Saccharomyces cerevisiae S288C: one gene and its partner. Changing the gene in region 2 together with the main gene of any one other region gives a genetic interaction. Each region holds a gene or a part of one and is shown on either strand. Other genes may lie near its edges.

Region 1 (5,080 bases), on a different chromosome or scaffold from region 2:
CAGATAATATCGGTACGAAATGAAATTCAAGAGTTGAAAGCCGGTAAAGACTGGCATGACTTACAAAATGAACAAGCCAAACTGAACGACAAAGTGAAGCTAAATAAGAGGCTAAATGATTTGACTTCTACTTTGCTAGGCAAATACGAGGGAGATCGCAAAATTATGAGCCAAGATAGCGAGGACGATTCAATACGGGATGACTCAAATATTCTGGATATTGCACATTTCGTAGACTTGATGGATCCATATAACGGACTTCTGAAAAAGATAAATAAAATTAATGAAAATCTTTCTAACGAATTACAACCAAGTCTATAGGGAATTGGTTCAAAAGATGTATATATATATATATATATATATATATGTATGTATATATGTATATATGTATATATGTATTACTTCCATACTAAGGAAGTTGTGTTATAAGGTCATTTTTATGTGGTAGACATACTTCATAGATATGCACAAATCTCTCTTTTTTTTTCCTGTTGTCGCTATTAGCTTATCAAATTTGCATCATTTTCAAGTAACGCTGTGACCATTCTGTAGAAGTAGAAAAAGAATATGAGAAGGTAAAATCCCAATTTTAAAAAGCATTCAATTTTGCATCTACCCAATTTTCTGAAAATATCCGTGGCGTCCAGTAGATGTGTTTTCTTGTAGACTTTACTTGCGTTATATGCTAGAACAGGGACATTCAAGAGAAATACGAACCAGTACCCGTTAAAAAGAAACAATGCAGAAATGAAAGCTTGTAGAATTGCCTCTGGTACACTCAACCTATTCACCCTCTTACACAGTTCGATTGAGTTGATATAGTCTGCTTCAAGATCACCATATAATATAGTAAAGTATATCTGGCAAATGGAATTCAAACAATTCAGTATAAGACCCGTCACGAATAGCGATAATCCGGTTCCTGACATCTTTACTCTTGGCTTCGAACTTCTTGGTGCCTGCAGTTAGTTTTATCTTTAGTAAAAAATGATAATGAAAGTGCTTATATGAATAAAGGTATTAATGTCTTCGTATTTAGCAATGTAATTGAAAAATCATTCGTGGCCCACGACAATATTTCCAAATTATCACAGCTTTCGATAGAAGTGAACGATTTTGAATTAGAGAGAGTAGTAGTGAGCTAGACGTACTGTGTTTTGAGAATTGAAGTTTGTATAGCAAAACTATACTATCATAATGCAACATTCAAGAAAAATAATGGTATAGAAACAAAAAATAACTCCGATACGGGGAGTCGAACCCCGGTCTCCACGGTGAAAGCGTGATGTGATAGCCGTTACACTATATCGGATAATAACTTATGTTTGATTTAACCTTAAAGATTTTCTATGTCAAGTTTAAACTGGAGGGCTTTCTATTGCCGAACAATCCTAGCTAAAGGCTTTTTTCCCTATTTACAGAAGAAAATGTAATGACTGAAGATTTTGAAAGGTCTCGTTTGATGGCTAGCAGGCTACACCTAGAATTACCCAATTCCAAAGGTTGGTCATCATAGGAAAACAACCAGCATGAACCTTACCCTAGTTCTCTTGCTACTATTTCACATCATCAGGTGATGTCAACTCAGCTTATTGTCAGTGACGACGGATTAGCATTGATACCTGATGTCATTTTAACACGTGTGTTGGATGGGATCCTATACACACCCAAAGAAGATGATTTTTACAACGACACCACCACCATGTATTATGTTTTTGCCACCTGGGGTGATCAAAGTTGGTCATCCTTCGGTTATGATAATACAGCAAGCCTGCAAGAGCACGAAAGATATGTTTTCTAACTTCTTGCCGAGCAGGGAATATTGGGGATTTGGACCGTTGGAATAAATGGGTCCTCAATATTGACAGGAGTCGGTTTTGGAATGAGAATTAACTATCATTTAGTGATGGTAATCCTATTACTAGAATATTATCAGATACAATGTTAGAGGACAATAGGAATACATAAAATAGAAGAAATAATGATGGCATTACATCGAAATATCGATTACACTATATCTTGGAGGAGAACTTTTTATTTTATTTTGTATATCTGATGCTATAGCCTCTAACAATAAGTTAATCCCAACAACTATCTCAATATTCATATAATCGTCTGAGAGATTGATAACAGCTAGTAATGTAGCTAACAGTCAAAAGATAATAAATGATTCATCTTCCAACAGCTTGCGGGGAAAGTTTTTCACACTAATGTGCGGTGTTGTTTTCCTTAACAGGCTCTGAGCAAAATATGGAGAGAGAGGTCTCATTTACTTTGCCATTCTTCATTTAAGCTTGAGGCTTGTTCTACTGAAATGTTAAGTTCTCAGAAGCCAACTTTGGATCAAAGGGCTTTGTTAGTAGCAAAACGCTATTTCTATTGATTTTGATTATTTTTCGAAACATTAAGAGCACAATGTATATTAATTTTCCCTGATGAATAGTTAAGATGATTAGATGGGCTAGGCGCTTAAAAATGAGAAACAGGTGAAATTTGAGATAAATGTTGATTTCGTTGTTGCTAAAGGCTATAATATCAGGTATACAAAATATACTGGAAATATACCTCGAGAATCTTGGAATCCACGAAAGGGAATAGATATTACTCCATAATAATATTATGTTGGAACGAGAGTAATTAATAGTGACATGAGTTGCTATGGTAACAATTCAATGCTTACATCGTATATTAATGTACAACTCGTATACGTTTAAGTGTGATTGCGCCTATTGCAGAAGGAATGTTAAACGAGAAGCTCAGACAATACTGAAGCTGTGTTAAAGACCTATTAGTTGAACATGTTATGGTAGGTACATATATGAGGAATATGAGTCGTCACATCAATGTATAGTAACTACCGGAATCACTATTATATTGGTCATGATTAATATGACCAATCGGCGTGTGTTTTATATACCTCTCTTATTTAGTATAAGAAGATCAGTAATTATTTCTTCATTAATACTAATTTTTAACCTCTAATTATCAACATATTATTTCTCCTTTCGTTTTATCTGATGTCATTCATTGATTGCCAGCAACTATCCCAAACCTCATGTGATTCTCGGATTCCTTACCACGAAAAAACAGATGTGTAAGTGTATTTGAACACACAATAATAAAAATGATTATCATTCCCAGATGGAGGAGCCCATTCCAAACATAGCAAAATTCAGCACATCCTCTTCGTTAGCATTTCCGTATGGAAGCAACCCTCAGTCCAACAAATACCGTTTAAACAAATGAGCGACATTTATTCGCTTTTTCTAAAATAAAGGTCCCCGCTGAAACTTCTTTGCATACAGTTCAAATATTCCACCGTTCTCTTATATGTGGGGCTGGCACTACTTCGTATAATTGACTATACTATCTATATTAGTCTTCCCACATGTAATAGAAAGCTCGTATGGCGCAGTGGTAGCGCAGCAGATTGCAAATCTGTTGGTCCTTAGTTCGATCCTGAGTGCGAGCTTCTTTTTTTTTTTGCAATCCTTATTGAACTTTTTTTCTTGCTGCAGTCTCCTCAAAGGCAACATGTTCTTTGCTTTTTTTCCCCAACGACGTCGAACACATTAGTCCTATGGCTTGCTGCAGATAAGGCTACTATGTGTATTGGCAATACCCTTTTTAAAATTGGCAGATCTCTTATGGCGATCGCCGAACGCCAGGTTGTTAGCTAACTGCAACGGCACGCATCTTTGGCTGCATTTCGCCTCATCATTTACGCGCTTTTCCAGGCTTTTTCCCCTTATCAGATAAGATAAAAAAACGAACAATAAATAAGCTTCAGATAAGATAAGCAGGAAAGCGTTCCTAGCCCTACCGAGAAATGTGCGTTTATAGTTTGGTGCCTCTTTCTTGATTGACGCTCTATAATGAAACCAATATGCGTTCATTCCCCTATTTCATAGGGCACTCTGTTCGCAGTTAGCGCAAGCCATTGAGATAAGACACGCAGATGTTTTGCTTTTTCCTGCTTCTTAATTTGAATCGAGCTTTGTTAGACGTTGTTGGAAATTGAATGTTTGTATTTAAACACTAGAGCAGATGAGGTGTGAGATTTGTATACTCGCTCACTTCTGAATATCAGGCTCTCTTAGCTAAGCTTTTTTTTTCTAGGATCATATAGGCTCAAGTTTTTATAAGCTTATATTAATATATCAGTGGAGCAGCTGATATACACCAAATTTCAATTTACATTAATATAAAAGATAAAAAATAGAAATATCTTTTTTATAGTCACAATAAATTTCAGTTTTGATTAAAAAATGACAGTTAGTTCCGATACAACTGCTGAAATATCGTTAGGTTGGTCAATCCAAGACTGGATTGATTTCCACAAGTCATCAAGCTCCCAGGCTTCACTAAGGCTTCTTGAATCACTACTAGACTCTCAAAATGTTGCGCCAGTCGATAATGCGTGGATATCGCTAATTTCAAAGGAAAATTTACTGCACCAATTCCAAATTTTAAAGAGCAGAGAAAATAAAGAAACTCTACCTCTCTACGGTGTCCCTATTGCTGTTAAGGACAACATCGACGTTAGAGGTCTACCCACCACCGCTGCATGTCCATCCTTTGCATATGAGCCTTCCAAAGACTCTAAAGTAGTAGAACTACTAAGAAATGCAGGTGCGATAATCGTGGGTAAGACAAACTTGGACCAATTTGCCACAGGATTAGTCGGCACACGGTCTCCATATGGGAAAACACCTTGCGCTTTTAGCAAAGAGCATGTATCTGGTGGTTCCTCCGCTGGGTCAGCATCGGTGGTCGCCAGAGGTATCGTACCAATTGCATTGGGTACTGATACAGCAGGTTCTGGTAGAGTCCCAGCCGCCTTGAACAACCTGATTGGCCTAAAGCCAACAAAGGGCGTCTTTTCCTGTCAAGGTGTAGTTCCCGCTTGTAAATCTTTAGACTGCGTCTCCATCTTTGCATTAAACCTAAGTGATGCTGAACGCTGCTTCCGCATCATGTGCCAGCCAGATCCTGATAATGATGAATATTCTAGACCCTATGTTTCCAACCCTTTGAAAAAATTTTCAAGCAATGTAACGATTGCTATTCCTAAAAATAT
Region 2 (7,769 bases):
TGTTATTTCCAAATAAACTGTTACTATTACTGCCAGCGGCAGAAGTGAATCCACCAAATCCTGATTGGGCATTGTTACTGGTGGAATTGTTGTTGTTATTGCTATTTCCAAAAAGAGAGTTTGGTTGTTGCGATTGTTGCCCACCGAAGGATGACGTATTTGATCCAAAGGAAAGGTTGCTCCCTCCAAACATTGGTCTATTGTTGCCAAACATTGTTAGTACCTGAAAAAATTCAATGTACTAATAGTCCGGAATCAAAGCTAAAATATTTTGGTTAACAAAGACTGTTCTACGATATGTTATTTTCTTCTCCTCTTCAGGTCCAAAAGCGGTGGTCATTTGTAGATGACTTCAGCATAAATATGCTTTTTTTTTTCATGCTTTTTTTCTTCGCTTACGGCAAATATTTAAGGTGTCACGGTGATTGCAAGATGGGTAACACTTTCCGTTCTAACTAAGCATCAGAACATAATACAATCTAATCTTTGTCTAATAATCGACCAAAGAAATTTCCTAATGCTAAATGTTTTACTTTGAGAACGTTCTTGGAGAAGTCTCATTCCGATGTGCGGTTAACCTCTACTCCTATCAGGATAATGCTGCCCTTACTTGCAATAAACAGGTAGAAAAATACTAAAATACTGCAAATGTTTTCCATTAAAAGTTATTCTACACAATAGCTATTAAATTTGTGGTAAAGAGGTGAAAAAAAAAAAAACCTCTATAGCTTAATAAACTAAAAATTCGTACTATGCATAAGTAATCAAAACATGCATCTACACAAAAAAAATTGAAAAATCTATAAAAACACCTTCCTAAAAAATGAATATCGCCAATATCTATAACAAAAAGTCTCACCGGTATACAAGGATTGTTCAGAACAGCTAGCCAAACTTTAACAACCTCCAGCATTGACAATTAAAAATGTGAAAATAAAACAGCTAAACGAAATTACCGCCAAAATTGGTCTCACAGTTTACCAAATTTTTCCGTCATAGCACTCATTTGAGTCCAATATTTTAACTTAACGGGAGTTAAAGATCCTGTGTTGAGGTCTACCATCAGGTCTTCATCTTCTATTTCTTCCTGAGTTTGACTTAAAGCTTTTTGAAAACTTCCTTGCTTTTGTGTTTGAGAAAAGAGCCCATTTGACCTCTTTGAAGTACTTGATTCGTAAAGGTAACTGACGGAATGGTTTGCCTGCATTGTAGTTGATGATATATAATGTCGTTGATTTATGAGTTACTAGATGGCTACCATTAAGTCTCACTTGAAAATTCGCGGGAGCTGAGAGATGCAAGCATGTAACATTAGGTTCTGTAGTTATATATGATTGTTTCTTCCATTGCCTACATCAGAATCGAACTGTTCTAGGGCCTCACAGTCGAAACAAAAGTTTAGCGTTGTTTCGAGAAATGGCCGCACGAATGGCGATAGATGTCGAAATGCCACACTTTTAATTTTCTCGTTGCGTTTTTTTTTCTTTTTTGCCCTTAGCAGAGGGCAAAAAAGTGACAGAGGAGCCACAACTGCGGCCCGCGTGAACAAAAAACCCCATGATCTTTCTCAATTTTTTATTCGCATGCGACTCCTACATACACGGGACCTGCAAGGTGGTGCGGTGCAGCCACACGGAAGACTATTGTATACATATGTGATTGAAAATGCTTCTTTCCTTGAAAAGAAATAAAGGGATGCTACCTCTTCCTGTGGCACACCTTTCCTTGGACTTTGTATTGAGTAAGGATCCAGACACCTTTAGTGGCGAGCTTGATAATCCAGGTAACACAATATCGCCAATGATTTTTATCAAGTAAGACTATCGCATCCAGAAGATTATTAGTTTAATGTTGTTCGATAAGGCCTATTTTTAGGCTCTTTTTTCAACATTTCCAATCGTCATGTGAAAACTGTACAAGCCACTTAATTTCTCAAAGACCTCGCCACAGAGAAAAGCTCATATCTGTGGCATCACTTACTGCTTCTATGCATTGATAAATCTAGCTAGAATTTTCACCGATATCATGCAAGTAAATGATAGAAAATCATCACAGTTACGCATCAAACACATTTTGAACGTTCCTTTCTTCTTTACGGCAAAGTAAGCATGCCTTTAGCGAGACTGGGGTGAGCTGAAGAAGAACTTGCTGCACTATAGATATGACTTTAGATGTCCGTTATTCAACAATTAAGTGGTTTCGTGGTCTAGTCGGTTATGGCATCTGCTTAACACGCAGAACGTCCCCAGTTCGATCCTGGGCGAAATCAATTTTTTTTTCCGTCAGATATCTCCGTCATTTTCGTTGACGTTTTTTTCTTACCAAGCAAAGATATTTTTAATAAATGCTGAATATCCTTTGTTTGAGGGTAAACATGCCATAAATTTGCAATAAGGGTTACAAATAAAGATTGAGAGCTGTCAATTTGGCGAACAGGGAATGTTTTCTTCACCAATGATCTCCTGAAGCCCCTCAATCTTTCTTGATGTTTATCTCTATTCGTGCCCGTCCGACAATATATTTGACAAGAGAGCTACATGGGAATATTGGTTATGTGCGTAAATACTTGTTCGTTCTCAAAACTCTTATTTAAAGACACATGATTTATTAATTAATTTAGCAAGTTTTTCTAGGAATTCTTTGTCTACGTGGTCGAATCCTTCGTAATCCAAACAATCTATGTCTATGACGCCCAATGTCTTACCATCATTGGATATGATTGGAACAACAATTTCGCTCTTGGTTTCACCGTCGCACGCAATATGACCGGGATACTTGTTGACATCTGGAACAATCTGCGTTTCCTTTGTAGAGGCTGCAGTTCCGCAAACACCTTTACCGAATTGAATCATTTGGCAAGCGACCTTTCCTTGAAATGGGCCCAATATCAGTGTGTTTTCTTCGCTAGCTTGAGTAACGTAAAATCCAGCCCAATTGATATCAACAGCTAATGACTTGTACGCATGCCAGATCAATGACGAAGCGTTTGACAAATTACAAACCCAATTGACTTGTCCATCTGATAGCCCCTCGTATGAAAGCAGAAGCTGTTCTAGAATTTCTTCCTTATTCAGATTTGAAGAATAGTTAACATGATCGGCATGATGAAACCCGGTTGATGAGCCCATATCTGTTTGTTTTTTTTTGTTTTTTTTTCTAATTTACGGATTTGTTTTATCAGCAAACGCCTTTGTTTGCTTACATTTGGGAAAATCGTCATCATATAAACATGAAGAAACCGATGATATTAGCGTTCGTTAAAAAGGATAATACTTCGTTGTAAACTCAACTGTAAATATCTTTCTTCATTTCCTCCAAACATGGTTTTCTAACTGCAGGGAATAGGTAAACCTTTGCGTTTGTGTTCTTTCTGCATCACGGTGGGCCTTGCCCTCTGTTAAGTCAATATTAAAAGATAAGATAAGAAAAGAATGAAAACGAATAAATAATTATTGATATTTAATGCGCAGAGAAAATACAAAACTTATAAGCTACCTGGATAGTTATCTTTTACAAGGCGAGCCATTTCTTGGCCTCTTTCTCCACCAAATTCTTTGAATTTTCAACATATGCCTTCAACATTAATCTGTGATTTATTTTGGTCGAATTTGAACTTTGATTGAATATGGGTAATACTGATTTCAAGCCCGACAATGTTTTGAAGCATAGCATTGATATAATAATCTGGGGCATCAGAAACGCTCCACTTTACTTCGTACATTTTCCCCCTCAGGTCTTTTCTCTTCTTCTTGGTCAGTCAAAGTTGATAACATATTAATAAGCCAGTCTTTATCGTCGCGGATAATCCTTGGTGTACCGTAAACGTGCACAGCGGCAAAATCCCATGTTGGTACGAACTTATGGGTCTTTTTCTTCATTGGGAACCACGCCGGAGAAATGTATGAATCGACGCTCTGAAATACCACTAAGCATTTTTGAACTCTTTCCAGCATTTCCACATGTTTATTCTTCCGTGCTAAATGTGCAATAAGTTTATGCTCTCCATTATCGAACTCCACGAATACAAATGGAATATGTGATGCGCACATACCAAAATCGGGGTCATCTTTATTGGAAGAAGTTCTCCATCCGAAGAAACCTTGCCTGCTAGCCTTAGAGGAGAATAGTGTTCCTAGCGGGGGTTTTTTTGATAATTTGTACCTTGAGAGTTCCATGGACTCAAAATGTTTAGGAATGTACATTATGAAATAGATTCTTGGATTCTTCTCAGACTGGCAATTTATGTCTATAATATTAAGGGATGGTTTTCGGCGAATATGCAGAATCTTCGGTTCTAGGACCAGTTATATACCATCCTAATTAAAATCAGAGGACATAATAGAGATAGTTTCAAATCTGGTTAAGCGTTAAAAGATCAGCATACAAAGTGATGCCACAAAATACCTTCTTAAAGGGGCGTGAGGCAAAAGCAAAGTCACATCATATAGCACCTACCAATAAAAAAGTGTATTACACAAAGGTATATTCCGTATCTGAGTTGTATATAAGTAGCCAAATTTGCACTTATCTAAAAGACGCCTTCGCTGCCGTCATAGTTGAAGAACTTTCCATTATCTTCTGGTAAAATTTTTCGGAAGACATCAATTAGCGCAGAGGCACTTTCTTCTGGTGTGATAATATTTACGCCGCTGATGTCTATATTCTTCTCTTTAAAATGATCAAGGCCATATTGGCCCATATCAGTAGATACCATACCTGGGTGAAAAGCAACGACAGTAAAACCCTCCGGTTTCAATTCAAAACTGAGCGTCTTTACCGCATAATTCAAGGCAGCTTTCGATTGACCATAAGCGGAAACAGAAAGTGGTACAAACGCATTGATAGATCCTGCAACACTAGAGATAAAGAATATCTTCCTCGTCTTTTTCAAAAGAAGCAGTGGATAAACTTTTTGAAGGGCTAGTATCGGACCCAGAGCGTTTGTGCTATAATGGTTGAGCCAGACTGATTTGGGAGTTTCCAGGACCTTGTAATAAGAATCAGATACTGCAGAACATGCGATAAAAATATCAATACCCAAGAAGAATGGCGTTTTCTTGATCTCGTCCGCAATATTGCCAATACTTTCGTCCTTTGTAAGGTCAAGTTGGACAATATGGATATTCTTCCTGATTTTTGCTAAATCTTCCACTTGTTTGTTCTTGGGTAATGAAGGTGATCCACGAATAGAGGTTATAACTGTATTGCCCGTAGAAGCGCTTAAAATTTTGACCAAATTAAAACCAATTCCACGGCTACCACCGATGATAAAGTAAGTTATTCTTGATGAAGTATTCATATCGACTTTGTTTGCTTAGAATTCTACTGATTTATGCCACTGGTAAAGGCTTTATTCTTAAAAACGTCAAAAATTAGTTTTGAAGCATCGCCGCCTATTTATTATAACTGGTATACTATCTTACTTATTAGTACTACCATTTATACCGCTATGCATTACTAATCACATTACTAATCTCATTACTAATCTCATTACTAATCTCATTGCTAATCTCATTACTAATCTCATTACAAATAACTTTCTATTGAGGTATTTCTAGGGAATTGCGAAGTTGGTTTGCTTTTTATGAGACCCGCGGACGTTAATCGAAGATATAATCCACGGAAAAATTATATGTCCTGCAATTTGTGCACAGTATATTAATCGGGAACATATATGATTAGATTATTGCAAGTCATGCAAGCTAAAGTAAAACAAGCAATATCAGGAGCTCATAGATATATCATGCACACATCAGGTAGAAGATAGGAAATTATAGAAGATCTGAAGAAATTAGAAGAACTAAGCTCGACTAGCCTAATAGGAAAATGGTGTCCCTTATTTAACCTGAGAAACCAATATTTCGTAGTATCTTCTTTTTTTCTTCCATGGTAATGAGTCCAACAAACTTTGAGCTTCTAAAAAATATAAACTCCAAATGAACCTGATCAGGACAAATGTTCTCTAGGGTAGTTAGATACAAAACCTTTCGGATGAGGGATTTCTTATCCTAGCTATTTAATGAAGCAAAATAAAGCTGTTTCAAAAAGCTTAAGTGTTTGTACTTTTTTTTACCAGGTTAAAGAAACAGGAATAATTATTCGTAGAATTGCAAAATTTTTTATTGACGTACTTGTTTCTATTTTTTGAATAGTCAGTTCTTCGGAAGGCATTCAATAAGAGCCCAATATAAGGGTAAGGTGCACTTTTATACAAGCTGGCCAAAAAAACCGGGAAATGGCAAAAGTTCGAACTATTGTTTCATAGGTACTATTAAATCCTTTCATTTGGTAAAGAAAGGTGCTTGAATGACTTTGCAGACTATTTCTGTTTCCTACCGAATAAATTAGGTGCGCTTTAACGCGCAGTGATGTGTAGATCAATTGAAATGGGGAACTTGCTTATTGAATACAGGATTAAAGAGGAAATGGTACGGTACATTTTTGGATTTTGCCATAACTCACGATAAACTGTGGATGGCTGCATCAAAAGATGGAGAGTTGCTAGATGACCGTCACGTCTGCGTAGTCTCTTCACAACATGTTTTATTGACTTGGTTGATGCTATTGTAGTGATTAAAGAGAACGAGAGATAACGCAAATCAAAATTTTATGTTGTGACATTTGGAAATTGAAGGAATACTTATCTTCGAAAAGCCGGAGCAATGCTTTTACCTCGCTAGAAATAGCATGTCATGTAACATGGTAATGTTAGCTTTATAAATAACCGCGCTATTTAGTAGGCTACTACAATTAACTCCCAGACTTCAAATTAGTCAGAAATGTAATACAATGTTGTGTAACGTTAGTCATATGTTATAATTTGTATTCTCGCAGTAGAGGTAATTCACGATCTTAGGATTTGCGCATGTTTATGATCATAATGTCAAAATAAACTACGTAATGCGTAATTTTAAATAGTTCTTTTGCCCAAAGTAAATGCGCATTATTATAGCATTCGTTGATGTTTCCAGTATTATTGCGATAATACTGGGGCCTGTCCATGAAGTTTTAATAGCAAGTGGCTTAGCAAATATTCTAAAAATTGAGATGGTCACATAACGTGAAAACTCTAAATTCGCGGCAGGAAGTCGGTTCTTTATCCTATGTGATTCGATGTGGAGGCAATTACCTATCTATAATATATGAAAGTTGCTGTATACTTATATAAGCCATTTATAATATGCAAAAGGCGGTAACGATATGCCGCGCAAATCAAAATCCAGATTGAAACAAGAAATAATGATTAAGATATACTATCAGTAACACGACAAAGGTAAGGAAATTCCAGTAACTGAGGCTATTTCATCAACCTAAGTACATCATTTTCAAGAAAAGAAGAAATACTTTATTTAGAGTGTGGAGCGCTAAATGTATGGCAAAAAAAGAAAATGAAACGGACAGGAATTGAACCTGCAACCCTTCGATTGCAATCTTATTCCGTGGAATTTCCAAGATTTAATTGGAGTCGAAAGCTCTACCATTGAGCCACCGCTTCATCTTGGAATATTCACGTTTTAAAATAGGATAGATCACCTCAAACAATGACGACTATATCTGAAAAGAGCAGAGATAACAGTGTTCTATGAAGATAAAATACAAGATTAGATACATAGAAAAAGAAGAGCATGATGAAGTTTAGATCTGCCAACAAATACCTCAAAATTCACCAATCTCTTAATTTAATATTGGATAAATGAGTTCAGTATGTAGCATATATGTTGCATCTCAGAGTAAGATAACATATCATTACCAATATATCAACCTAAACA

Evidence for each region. A genetic interaction does not mean that the proteins touch.
Region 1: mutations in YKL070W (region 2) and ERV15 together harm fitness more than expected from each alone (negative genetic interaction), as found in Saccharomyces cerevisiae (2 studies listed by BioGRID).

Annotation. Positions count from the first base shown.
Region 1 is NC_001134.8:641,399-646,478, reverse strand, and holds ERV15 (Erv15p), read right to left. Parts: upstream 930-5,080; coding exon 501-929; downstream 1-500. Other genes in the region: AME1 (Ame1p), read left to right, coding at 1-321; YBR209W (uncharacterized protein), read right to left, coding at 3,579-3,896; DUR12 (bifunctional urea carboxylase/allophanate hydrolase), read left to right, coding at 4,269-5,080.
Region 2 is NC_001143.9:302,644-310,412, reverse strand, and holds YKL070W (uncharacterized protein), read right to left. Parts: upstream 4,203-7,769; coding exon 3,693-4,202; downstream 1-3,692. Other genes in the region: FG-nucleoporin NUP100, read right to left, coding at 1-214; YKL068W-A (uncharacterized protein), read right to left, coding at 971-1,207; YKL069W (L-methionine (R)-S-oxide reductase), read right to left, coding at 2,586-3,128; OSI1 (Osi1p), read right to left, coding at 4,529-5,299.